3 linked regions of the Daphnia pulex genome follow. The protein of the gene in region 1 interacts with the protein of each later gene in a pairwise test. Links are inferred from orthologs where the notes say so. Each region holds a gene or a part of one and is shown in the gene's direction. Other genes may lie near its edges.

What was found.
Region 2: the proteins of uncharacterized protein LOC124203590 (region 1) and regulating synaptic membrane exocytosis protein 2-like interact in a two-hybrid assay, tested with the Drosophila melanogaster proteins (3 studies listed by BioGRID). The link is inferred for Daphnia pulex from reciprocal best matches to the Drosophila melanogaster genes Rbp and Rim.
Region 3: the proteins of uncharacterized protein LOC124203590 (region 1) and JNK-interacting protein 1-like interact in a two-hybrid assay, tested with the Drosophila melanogaster proteins (2 studies listed by BioGRID). The link is inferred for Daphnia pulex from reciprocal best matches to the Drosophila melanogaster genes Rbp and Aplip1.

The regions. Positions count from the first base shown.
Region 1 is NC_060026.1:13,159,283-13,162,934, reverse strand, and holds part of uncharacterized protein LOC124203590, read left to right. Parts: intron 1-201; coding exon 202-348; intron 349-422; coding exon 423-479; intron 480-653; coding exon 654-743; intron 744-996; coding exon 997-1,119; intron 1,120-1,203; coding exon 1,204-1,365; intron 1,366-1,432; coding exon 1,433-1,628; intron 1,629-1,703; coding exon 1,704-1,814; intron 1,815-1,878; coding exon 1,879-2,070; intron 2,071-2,692; coding exon 2,693-2,992; intron 2,993-3,652.
Region 2 is NC_060020.1:6,667,307-6,670,958, forward strand, and holds part of regulating synaptic membrane exocytosis protein 2-like, read left to right. Parts: intron 1-2,666; coding exon 2,667-3,000; intron 3,001-3,155; coding exon 3,156-3,652.
Region 3 is NC_060024.1:10,403,162-10,407,252, reverse strand, and holds JNK-interacting protein 1-like, read left to right. Parts: upstream 1-1,390; 5' UTR 1,391-1,625; coding exon 1,626-1,708; intron 1,709-1,815; coding exon 1,816-2,090; intron 2,091-2,160; coding exon 2,161-2,289; intron 2,290-2,361; coding exon 2,362-2,457; intron 2,458-2,520; coding exon 2,521-2,963; intron 2,964-3,042; coding exon 3,043-3,221; intron 3,222-3,291; coding exon 3,292-3,364; 3' UTR 3,365-3,469; downstream 3,470-4,091. Other genes in the region: uncharacterized protein LOC124200172, read right to left, coding at 3,775-4,048. UniProt on the Drosophila melanogaster protein: The JNK-interacting protein (JIP) group of scaffold proteins selectively mediates JNK signaling by aggregating specific components of the MAPK cascade to form a functional JNK signaling module.

The DNA.
Region 1 (3,652 bases):
TTTTTTCTTTCTAGCTGGGTGATGATGTTTTTGGCTGGAATGCCGTTGGCTCTTTCGATATTTAGGGGGGTGGGGGAAGAGGCGATGTGTCATGTGGCCGGGCAAAAGTATTGAGCAATGAGAGGAAAAAAGGATTGGCTATATAGGAGCCAACAGTAGTCAATAGAATTTGATTTTTATTTGATTTTTCTGGCCGTCCAGGGATTGCAGCGAAGTGCCGAGCTTGACGTGACCCGCTACTCGGCCTTGGAGGCGACCAACGTCCAGCTCCGGCGGCAGGTGGAACAGCTGGAACTCTTGTGCAAGGAACAGGCCGAAGCGGCCCAGCAGCTCAGCAAAAGGCAACAGGTTAATTTTGATTAAATTTTATTTGATTTCGACCATCAGAAAAATTTTTAAAAAATGAAATTTGATTCGTCTAGGATCGAGAAGTGCTGGCCGAGCGACTTAAAGCCAAAACAGAGTACAGTCAAGACTTGGTAAGGACTCGGCTGTCCAGTCACACACATCAGCGGCTTAGACTGCGTGTGTGTCCATCCAGCCAGTAGAGAGAGAGAGAGAGTTTAAAATAATAACTTGGGCAAGAGTCCGGCTTAAAACCCTAAAATATTTTGTCTGTTTCGTGTGTGTCTGTGTGTGTGTCCGGTCGACAGGAGAATCAGCTGAGCAAAGTTATCGACAAGAACGCCGAATTGACCATTGAGAATTGTGACCTGAAGAAACAAGCCCAGGAGCTGCACCAGGTAAATATATAATAACACCCTGTACGACTACTGTGTGTGTGTGTGTCCGTTTCTATATGTATCGATTATTCCCTTTTTTTTTACCCGGTGATTTAACTTTTGTCTTGAAATTAATTTTGATTTCAAGCAGCTGGAATTGACGAGTCGATCGATGTGTGGGTTGAAATATTTGTTTTTTTTTTTCAAATTGCCCAGCACCACAATTTTTAATCGATGAATTTGTTTATATTTGCAATTGATTTGATAAAAACAGTTTGAAACGGAATGCCAGACGCTTCGTAGCTCGTTGAACACGGTGGAAAGCCAGTGCCAGGCGGCCCAGAGCGAAGTTGCCCAGCTCAAGGAGAAGATGGCCGGCCTGGATCATGTCCTCAGGGTGAGTTTTCTGGATGATTTTATTTTTGCAAAATTTTTTAAAATTAATTTTGACATTTTTATTTTAATATTTGTGGCCGGGCAGCAAATGAGAGAAGCGGCCGAGAAGAAAAAGGAATTGGAAAAACAACATGGAGAGTCGGTCAATGAGTTGCGGACGGCCCAGGCCCAGCTGGGATTGCTGGCCAGCAACAAGAACACGGAAGTGGAGCGGGCACAACATTCTCAGAACATCGAGTCGCTTCAGGTTTGCCCGTTTTTGTCTTGCCCAGCACCTACCACCCTCGATTCTCATTTTATAAATTTCCAAACAGTCGAGGATTCGCGAGCTGGAAAGGAAAATGGAATTGCAGAACGTGAGACACGATGAATTGTTGCTGGAACTGGCGGCCTTGAGACGGAACCAGCACCACCACCACAGCAACAGCAGCGGAGCTGGAAGCAGCCACCACGGCAGCAGTCAGTCACTAGGAGCCACATTCGATTTAGATTCAAGGGGATCCAGCCCAGGTACCCAAAAATTACAATTTTTATTTTATTTATTTGCCCAGCAGGTTGAATAATAATTGTATTTAATATCAACAGATTCACTGAGGTATTTAGCCAATGGTGCTGGATCGGTGACACGGACAACCCCTCTGGGACAGAGTGCCTCCAATTTAGACGCTCTCCTCGAAATGGACTTGGCCGTCTCGAGTAAAATTTTTATTTCCATTTTTTATCTTTTCTATTTAATTGAATTGGTGGGTTCAATTGTTAGATTACAACCTGGGCAAGAGCCTTTCGCAGCCGGTGGTTTCGACGTCTTCCATGTCGAAACTGACGGGCATCAACAGTGGCGGATCGTCCAGCAGCAGTAGCCATCACCACAGCGACATCGAGCGGATCATGGCCAAAATCGAGCAGGATAACCGAGTGCTGGCCGAGCTGGAAAAATCGCGCGCCACAATCAGTAAGTTCCGCCCGACACACATTTATCACCACTTTATTATTAATGTTAACAACACACAAAAGGATATATTCATTGCCGGCCAGGATCTTTTTTGTCTATTTTGTTATTTTTCTCTTTCTTTATCCAAATTATTAACATCATCATCTTCTTCTTCTTTCTGCACTCCTGTCGTGAGTTTCCCTCCTCCTCCCCCCTATTTTTCTGATTATTTTCATTTCAACATTTCCGGCTCCTGTGCTGCTGGCCGGTTTTTATTATCAACTCTCCCCCAGAAGAAGAAGAAGAAGAAAATCTTTTTTTTTTCTGTCTGCCGCACTAATCCGTTGAATTGTCGAGGACCTTGTGTGGCTCCGCCCATCCGTCGTTGACTAATTGATTTTTCCCAGTGCCCGGGCGAGGAAAGGAGTGGGAAGGGGGTAGGAGGGTAGGGATGGGAACGTGTAGTGGAGCAGCAAAAAGAGGATCGGATCTACCGGGATTGAAGTCCGTTTTTTGTAGGAAGAAGAAGAAGATGATGATGAAATGTTTTAAAAATGGGTTAGCTGGGCAGCTGGGCAAATGCTGGGCATTTTGGTTCTGGGTTGTTGATAGCCTGGTCTGTGTGTGTCCCGTGTGCCAAAAGCAGTGTCTCAGGAGAAGGGCAAAACGGTGACGTTTGCCAGCGATGACATGGTCCTGCACTACGGCGGCCAGAACCGGCACAGGCGCAAATCGACGCCGGCCAGCCTCAACCGGACGCCTTTACTCCACCACCACCACCAACAGCAACACCAAATGATCCAACAACAACCCCAATATCATCAGCCTTCTGCAACTGCACTTCTACTGCAACAACAACAACATCATCATTTACGCTTTTCTCCGCCCGTCTCTGCCCATCTCAGGCATTGGCTAGCGCCGGGCATTGAAACGAGTAAGAAGAGTAAGTTGAGAGTGATTGCTGGCCCACCTCTGCTCCCCCCGAAACAAAAAAATTAAAAAACCTAAAAAAAAATTGTTGCTGGCCTGCCCGCGCTGTATAGAAAGTAGGCTCTCCTCAATGACGGCCCGCACAACAAAACAAAACTCATCAAAAATACTTTCACCAAAAACACACACCACCCCACCTGCTCCCACACACACCAAAAAAAATTGACGGACAGCATGGCTGGATTTTTTGCTGGACAGACGAAACAAAAAAAAAAATATTTTTAGAGAGTAGTTGGGACAACCACAAAAAAAGACGAAAATATTTTAAAATCCAGCGGACTTATTAAAAATACCCAATTTTATTTTATCATCACATTATTTTAATTTTTTTTTGCTAATTAATTAATTTTGAGTGTCTTTCTGTGTGTGTGTGTGTGTGTTTGTTCCGGTCACGATCACGCCCCTCTTGATCCAGCCAAAAAAAAAGAAAAAAAAAAAACCTGCCGTAGACATTTGGTTGTTTCCGCAGTTGCCGGAAAATAATAAAAACAAAATTATTTTATATTTTTATCTTTTTCCCCAAACAATCGATCGATCTTTTTTTTTTCTTTTCCTTCCTGCACTGCACTGCTGCTGCTGTTGCCCAGCTAAAAAATAGAAAAAACAAAGTTTT
Region 2 (3,652 bases), on another chromosome or scaffold:
GCTCTCTCGAATCGACGAGCGTGAGTGTTCTGGAATGAGGAGGGGGGCAAAAGGAAGGGCGAGGGGAGGGGATAGATGGATGGAAGGAGGGAGGATGTTTGGCATTTGCATATCGAGACGATACATCTGTGCAAAAGGGTAGAAATTCAGAAGAAAAAAGGCAAAAAGAAGAAGAAGAGCACGCCATCAAATCTCTTTTTACTTGGGATTTCTGGTCTATATAACCAGCAGCTTCAAGCAAACCCCACTTTTACCTCGCCCGTCACACAAAACCCTCCTCCTCCTCCTTCCATCCGCCGTACTGAAAGAGGCAACCGACCGACGTCAAACACAACAAACAGAGCAGCCATCGTCGAGCTACTACTACTGGGAGGGGGCTCAACACAGCACACAGTCTAGGGTAGTAGAGAGATAGTCTAGATGAATACGTTTATCTGAGCAGGGAGTAGGAAAAAGGGGGCCGAGAAGCAGCACGGAATCATCGAGCTCAAGTGAAGCAAGAAAAAGGCATCAGCAGCAACAACAAAAACAAGGGACGGGGGGGAAACAACAACAAACGAAAAACAAAACAAGAGTTCGTCCGTCCGTCTCTATTTATATATTATATACATAGACCCAGAACCGAGCGAAACAAATGCTGATGGATGGTGTTTGGCCTACGAATTGACTTGCATGTCGATGTGTGTATATTCAGTACTACATCTAGACAACGCTTGCGTCATATAGACTTGGGCTCTTCTTATTATTATTCTGATTCTATCACTGCTTGTATATTTATATTCGCCTTTATTTCCTAGACATACAACACGGAGGAGCCGGCTTCTCCTGCTGGCTCCTGGCCTTTTTTTTTATTCTTTATGTATACATAGATTCTTCCATCTTTTTTTTTTTAGCTTCTTCTTCTTTTCTCTGTGTTGGCGACTTGTCTTTCGATATCAATAGACATCAATTGATATGATGTGCTGTGCTATATGATTACCATCTTTTTCTTATTCCCCTCTCGTCCTGGGCTTTTCCAGTTGCTCCTTTTTTGTTTCGGTGTTGTTCGCTTCCGATTCCTAGCTAGAACTTCCTCCGCTGCTTCCACTTTGCACACACACACATAGATACAGAGAGACGTATAGCCTGGCCTCCCGTATCGAGGGCATCATCCAATCCCACACACATTGACACACACACACATCGCAAGAACATGGAGATGTTTGGGTATACTATATACTGCTGTTGCCTAGTAGAGTCGTGCATTGTAGACGCAAAGCCAAAAGAAAAGGAAGGAAGGAAAGAGCTGCTGCTGCTGCTCGACCGGCCCAGCAGCGGCGGCGGCGGCCTTCCATTTTTGGCTTCATCATCATCTCTCTTTTCTCTTATATAGACCCCCCCATCCCATCCCAACCCCCGCCACCCGTCCGACGCTTTATTATATTGGGTCTTGTTTTGTCCGCCGCACACGGAATGCCTTCTACTCTATGTCTATGCACGTCCGATCCGTCTATACACTTAGATCCCTATCCCGAAACCTCATTCGATAACAACAACAATAAAACAAACAAACCCCCCCACCCAAAAAAAAAAAATTACAGAAACAAAAAACGCCAGACACACAAAAAAAAGGAAGGAGAAAGAAATCGAGAAGAAGAAGAAGATCTTTTTATACATGTGCGCCACTATATCACGATACAAAGACTCTCGTTATTGAGCAGTCTGTGCATCGTTTCTTCGTTTAACCCAATGTGATATTTATTCCATCACGGTTGGCAGATATATACTTTGCTGGCCTTGCTGGATTGCTGTTGTCGACAAGTTCCGCCCACCCCCAAAAAAATGATTCGAGATTTTTCTGTTGGAAAATTTTCTTTTTCATTTAAAAACTGCAATTCTTTTCTTTTTTTTGGGGGGGGGGGCGACAGTAATTTGCACAACAACAGTTACAACAACAACAACGAGCAGTATTGAATTGATGGGCCGGAGATTAGATTTTGGGTGTCTTCTGTACCGTGCTGATGCAACCTAACGTGATATAGTGGGCACATGGATTCTTGGCTCAGTGATCACGCTTGCCATTTTCTGCGCGGGAGGGGCCAACAATTCCTTCGTCTTCTTCTTCTTCTTCTTGTGCCATTTCTCCATCAACGATTTTTTGGGATCATTCCCCCTATCCACACATTTTCGGTGGTTGATCGCCTCCGTCTAGATCGAACTCGCCTCGGGTACGTCCGTGGCATTCCACGTTCGATGATCCGTCGATGACGGATGGCGCTGCAACGCAACCGACGTCCATCCGCATTGGCATTAGCACTCGTGTGATCTTCACATTTCTCTTTTGTTTTTTGTTTTTTGTTTTTTGTTTTTTTTTTCTACTCTTCTCTCTCTTCCGATTTTGGCTCCTTTTTAATTTGTTTGTTTCTTTGCAGTTGGGTTAGACTGGGGCTTCCATTTTCATTCCGCTTCATTTTCTCTTATTCTCTCTCGTCTTGAATTTTTCTACTTTTTTGTTCATTTCGGTTTCTTTGTCACTTCTTTGTTTTGTTTGGTTATATTTCTGATGATGATGGGATGTGAACATTTGTTGTGTTTTTCTTTGTCCTTGGCTGACTTGCGATGATTGAACTGTGTCTGGTCTTTCGTGTTTGATCTCGGTGACAACAACAACCAACAACCAACAACAGCATCAGCTGCAAAAGCAACAGCATCCGCCGGCGCCTCAACAGCAGCATCCAGTCACGTGGCAGCCCAACAGCGACGGTACCAAAATGATTGGCCGGATGATATTGACCAAAAACATGGCCGGAATTGGAGTCGGCTCCCTTGGAGGCGGTGGCGGGGGAGGTGGTGGTCCGTCAGGCGTTTCGGGCATCGGCGGCTCCAGCAATCCGTCATCGGCCTCCATTCTCGGCCTCAAGGTCGTAGGTGGCAAGCGAGTCGACAACGGCCGCTTGGCCGCTATCGTCGAGAAGGTCAAACGGGGCAGCGTCGCCGACACCATCGGACACTTGCGGCCGGGTAAAACTTTTTTCTTTTTCCCTTTTCTCTTTTCTCTTTTCTTTTCATTCATTCAATTTGACAAGTGTGAACGAGTGTTGTGTTGAGGAAGACCAGCGACACCAGCGACGGGCAACAATGCAATGACGTGTTCTATTGTCCGCGCTTGTATTTAGGTGACGAGGTGCTGGAGTGGAACGGCTACCCGCTGCAAGGGCGGACATTTGAGGAAGTCTATGACATCATCTGCGAGTCACGTTCCGACCACGAAGTGGAGATCATTGTCAGTCGGCCCATCAGCGATGTCGGACGGCCGAGTTCAATGGGAGCACAGTCGGGCGGATCAGCCGGGCCCGGTGGTGGCCATCTAAGTCACCATCATTCCGGCTACGGCTCGGCGTCGGGCTCGTTAGCGGGCGTCGGTGGCGGCGGCGGGGCCGGCAGCACACGCAGCGGCGGCAGTAAAGTCAGCAGTAACACTCAGAGGGACCGGCCGGCTGTCACCGTCACGTCGCCCGCCTCGCCTGACACTCTCCACCCGTCTTGGGGCAAAGTCCAGGTGAAATTGTGGTACGATGCATCGATCCAGCAACTGTCGGCCACGATCGTTGGCGGATTCGATCTTCCGCCGCGCCCAAACGGCGCCCTGCGCAATCCTTACGCCAAACTCTTC
Region 3 (4,091 bases), on another chromosome or scaffold:
TATGACGAGATACTATACGTCATCTGCGAGCTTGAATAAAAAGTTTAGATTTCTTTTTCAAAAAGGTGAACAATAGTCGTCTTTTGAACATCACTGACTACTATAGCAGTCCAGGTTGGTTGAACAAGCGGCGTCATCTTATATGCACATTTGTCGACGTAGTTATACCGAAAAAAGAATTGCCAGAAGCTTCTCTCGAATTGATTACTATTCAACAGTCAGTTGGTTCAGTAATCAGATGGATATTGCAATTCTCTAGAGTGGCTCTTGACGATCTGGCGCTTTTCGCCTTGATGGCTGCTGCTGCTGCTGGGCATCGAATGGATTTATCTATCTCCAGGCCCTATATAGACACAGCGTCGACCTACTGGTGGGGGAGAGAGAAAGTGGATGGGAAGAAAGAAAAAATAAAAACGATTCCATAATCAGCGTCCCGACGCTCAGAATCGTTTATAATGTATCAACATCTATTCATTCTCCCCAACGGCCAGAGTGCTGGATGAACCTTCCGGTCGAATGCATTGGCGCTCTTGTATAAACAAACGCCAGATAACAAAAGGTTAAAAGAAATCAAAGAATATTACACTTATTTGGGTGCCGTTTGTTGAATCTATTTCAATTCCGATCGTTTTATACATATTCCCAATCGCTGAGAAGTGATTGAAAACTTTCTGGGTCCCAAAGCCCAGTGCTGCTGACGTACAGTATTATCTATTCCGCGTTTTCTTTATTTTATATTTTTACAATTCCTCCGCGCAGCAGCGCATTCCATCATCTGATTAAGGTCGCCGATATATCGACGATATGGGCGGACAGAACGTATCCGCTGGAAGGAAAAAAAGAAAAATTGGCCGCGTGATCTACGATGTGTGGTTTGGTGACAGTTAAAAGAAATCCCATCCGTTATTACATAGGACTCTGGCCATTCCACCTACACGCACGCAAAAAAAAAGCTCAGATTATATTCGTGTATTGCGTGATATAGCCGACGAAGATTATCATCTGGAAACGATGTTAAGTCGTGCCAACGTTTAAGTATTTCTCACTTTGGCGCTGCGCAGTGGCCTATACGCCCACACGCTGATTGAATTAAAACGTAGATACTAATCGGCGACGACGTTAGTGACGGAGTGTTTTGCTTAGATGCCCATTCCTTAGATTAATCGACCCGCGTCGTGCGTGTTGAGTTTTTATCAAAAACACACAGGAGGAGGAACATAAATTGACTTGAAAAAGAAATTTGGGAAAAAATCAATATCTCCATGGTCTCGGGACACATTTCTTTTCTGGCTCACGCTATGGCATCCTGCTGGAACACCAACCACCCCGTGAGCATGCGCAATCCGGGGGACTAACTCGGCAGCAGCCACACCTCTTTCTACATACTCCCGTTGGCACGTATAGAGGATCCGGCACGATCCAGCACCCCAAAGTCGGCCGTATATGTATACGCATCGGAAACTTATTCGGTCGAGACTTTGCTCAGTAAATAGCCGAATTCTGTAGTAACGAGTAGTAGTTGTTAATATACACACCCCCAGCTGCAGGCTGCATCCAGGCCGCTCATTATTATTATTTGCCGAATTCAGTTCTTCAGCTGCTGTTTTTGGTTGTAACCGAAAATCATGGCCGATTCCGAGTTTGAAGAGTTTCGTCTGCATTTCGATCGATTACCTCAGCACATACGAGCGTCAGCCAAGTGCTACACGTAAGTCGTTGTCATCATTTGACTTGGCTGTTTCATTGATTATGTTAGACTAGCGGGGTGGGGTTTTAGTATATTATCATATCGTTTTGTTTTGCATATTTATGCAGTTTGGTTCACGACATCACGCCCTGTGACGATTTGCCGAATTTCGAGGGCTTACTCTCATCGTGTGCCACCGAGTTTCCGTTTGCCAAACGGGAATCGACGATCGTTGAAGAGGGAAGCACCGGAATTGTCCAAACTTCCGTTGGGACGACAGAAAATGTACCAGTAGCTCCTCATCCAGAAGATGGGGCTGCCAACGATCCTGTCAAGGAAATCAATCACAAGCCACTCGAAAGGAAAAGAAGAAAACTACCAGAAATCCCAAAAATTCATCAAAGTATACTATCAAAACATGTTTTATCGAAATAAAAAAAGAAAAGGATCAATATCTAATCAATTATACACAGAATTGGATTTCAAACGGACTCCATCACTCGCCGATGAGCTATCGCAATTGGATATCGGGTCGTCGTGCATTTCATTAGTATCCGAACACCGTCATCGCCAATTTTTCAAGCCTCACCTTCACTATCGAGGTACTATAATTATTTCCAATTGTCCAAATAACAAAACAATCATCCAAAGTTCCTTTTATTAAAAATAAACAGCAGGAGAACACAGTCCTTGTGAATCTGACGTTTGGCCAGGGACGGATGGCGATTCCGGACGAGACTCGACGGCTCATTCGCCAGAAGGCTCAAAAGGTTATTTTCCCCCCTATAATTAATTATTGAAATTGATAACGAATTGAATTTTAAAAATAACAGATACTGCGTCTTCGACGCCGAGCGCCGAATCACTCCCGGTGCTGACCGACGTCGAGGCTACACACCGCGGTCTGCACAAATTCACCGGCCGACACTCTGACGAGATAGACATCGACATCGGAGATCCTGTTTACGTCCAGCAGGAGGCCGACGATTGTTGGTGTGACGGGATCAACCTGCGAACTCAGCGTCGAGGAATCTTCCCAGCGGCTTACGTCGTCGACGTCGATTACGATTTCGATCCCGACGGACGGCGGGTCAACAAGGAGCGCTACGCCCTGGATTTTTTGGGATCAGTCGAAACGATGGTCAACAAAGGGGAGCAGGTGATCTGTTCGGCCGTTGAACGTATGCGCAAATCTCCCGTCACCCACCCGCAGCCTTGTTTTCTAGAAATCTCCGACCAGGGACTTCACGTCATGGACAAGTGCAAAGAAAATGACGTAAGAGTATTGTCTAGCTCTCTCTCTCTATTTCGTTTCAATTAATTTTAATTCACGGTTGGAAACACACACACGACAGATGGACCGATTCCCGTGTCACGATTACTTTTTCGCTTTGAAAAATGTCACGTTCTGCGGGTTTCATCCGAGTGAGCAGCACTACCTCGGCTTCATCACCAAACATCCGACTGAAGAGCGGTTCGCCTGTCATGTCTTTCAGGGTAACGGCTCAACTCGTCACGTAGCAGAAGCTATCGGGTATTAAACATAGAAACGATTATTAATTTTCTATTATTCAAAATGTAAAAATGATATCATTTGGCTGTAGGAGAGCGTTTCAACGGTTCTGTCGTAAATTCATCGAGTTGGCCTACCCGATTCACGAGTTCTACATGGAGTAATTTATTCATCTCAGCACTTTTGATAATCGTTATTATATTTACATTCCCCCATACTTCCTCTAAACTCTCACATCTCTCCTTGTGATAAACGGAGTCGCATATTTCTTCTCGTCTTTTCTAGAGTGCTTCATTTCACAAGCTGCTCATTCAACGTGAATTAATTAAATACCAATACAGTCACGACGAATGGTAGAAAACTGGTATAACCGAAATTTATTGAAACCATTTCCACGGGCGAATAATACTGAAATCAAATTCAGGGACATCTACTTCGAAAGAGAATGCAAATTTTTTCTTAAAACAAAACGAAAATGCAATGGAAAAAAAAAGAAAGAAAAAGAAACACAATGGGAAATGGGACAGAACTGGAAGATTATGCTTTGAATTTTGGGTTCCACAATTAATTAGATTCAGAGATCAGTGGTTAAGGCGTTGTTTTTACGCACAACGGCCTTGCTTCTGGTGGCAGGCGAAAGTTCATCCAGTTGGCCGACGTACAAAACTTGTTCGTTTAAAGTGACCATCCCCTTTTTGGGTCTCATTGAGCGCCTGACTGGAGTGGCGACCAATTGATATGGGCACTCGCTGGCTACTGATACTCTGTTGGAAGCCGTATTGAATTTCATCGGGGTCTTCGTCGCTTTCTTCTTGAGGCTAGGAGTATTGTTCTCTTGTTGTTTTTGACTAAACGTTCAAAGACAGTCAATCAGAAGGAGTTTTTTTTTTT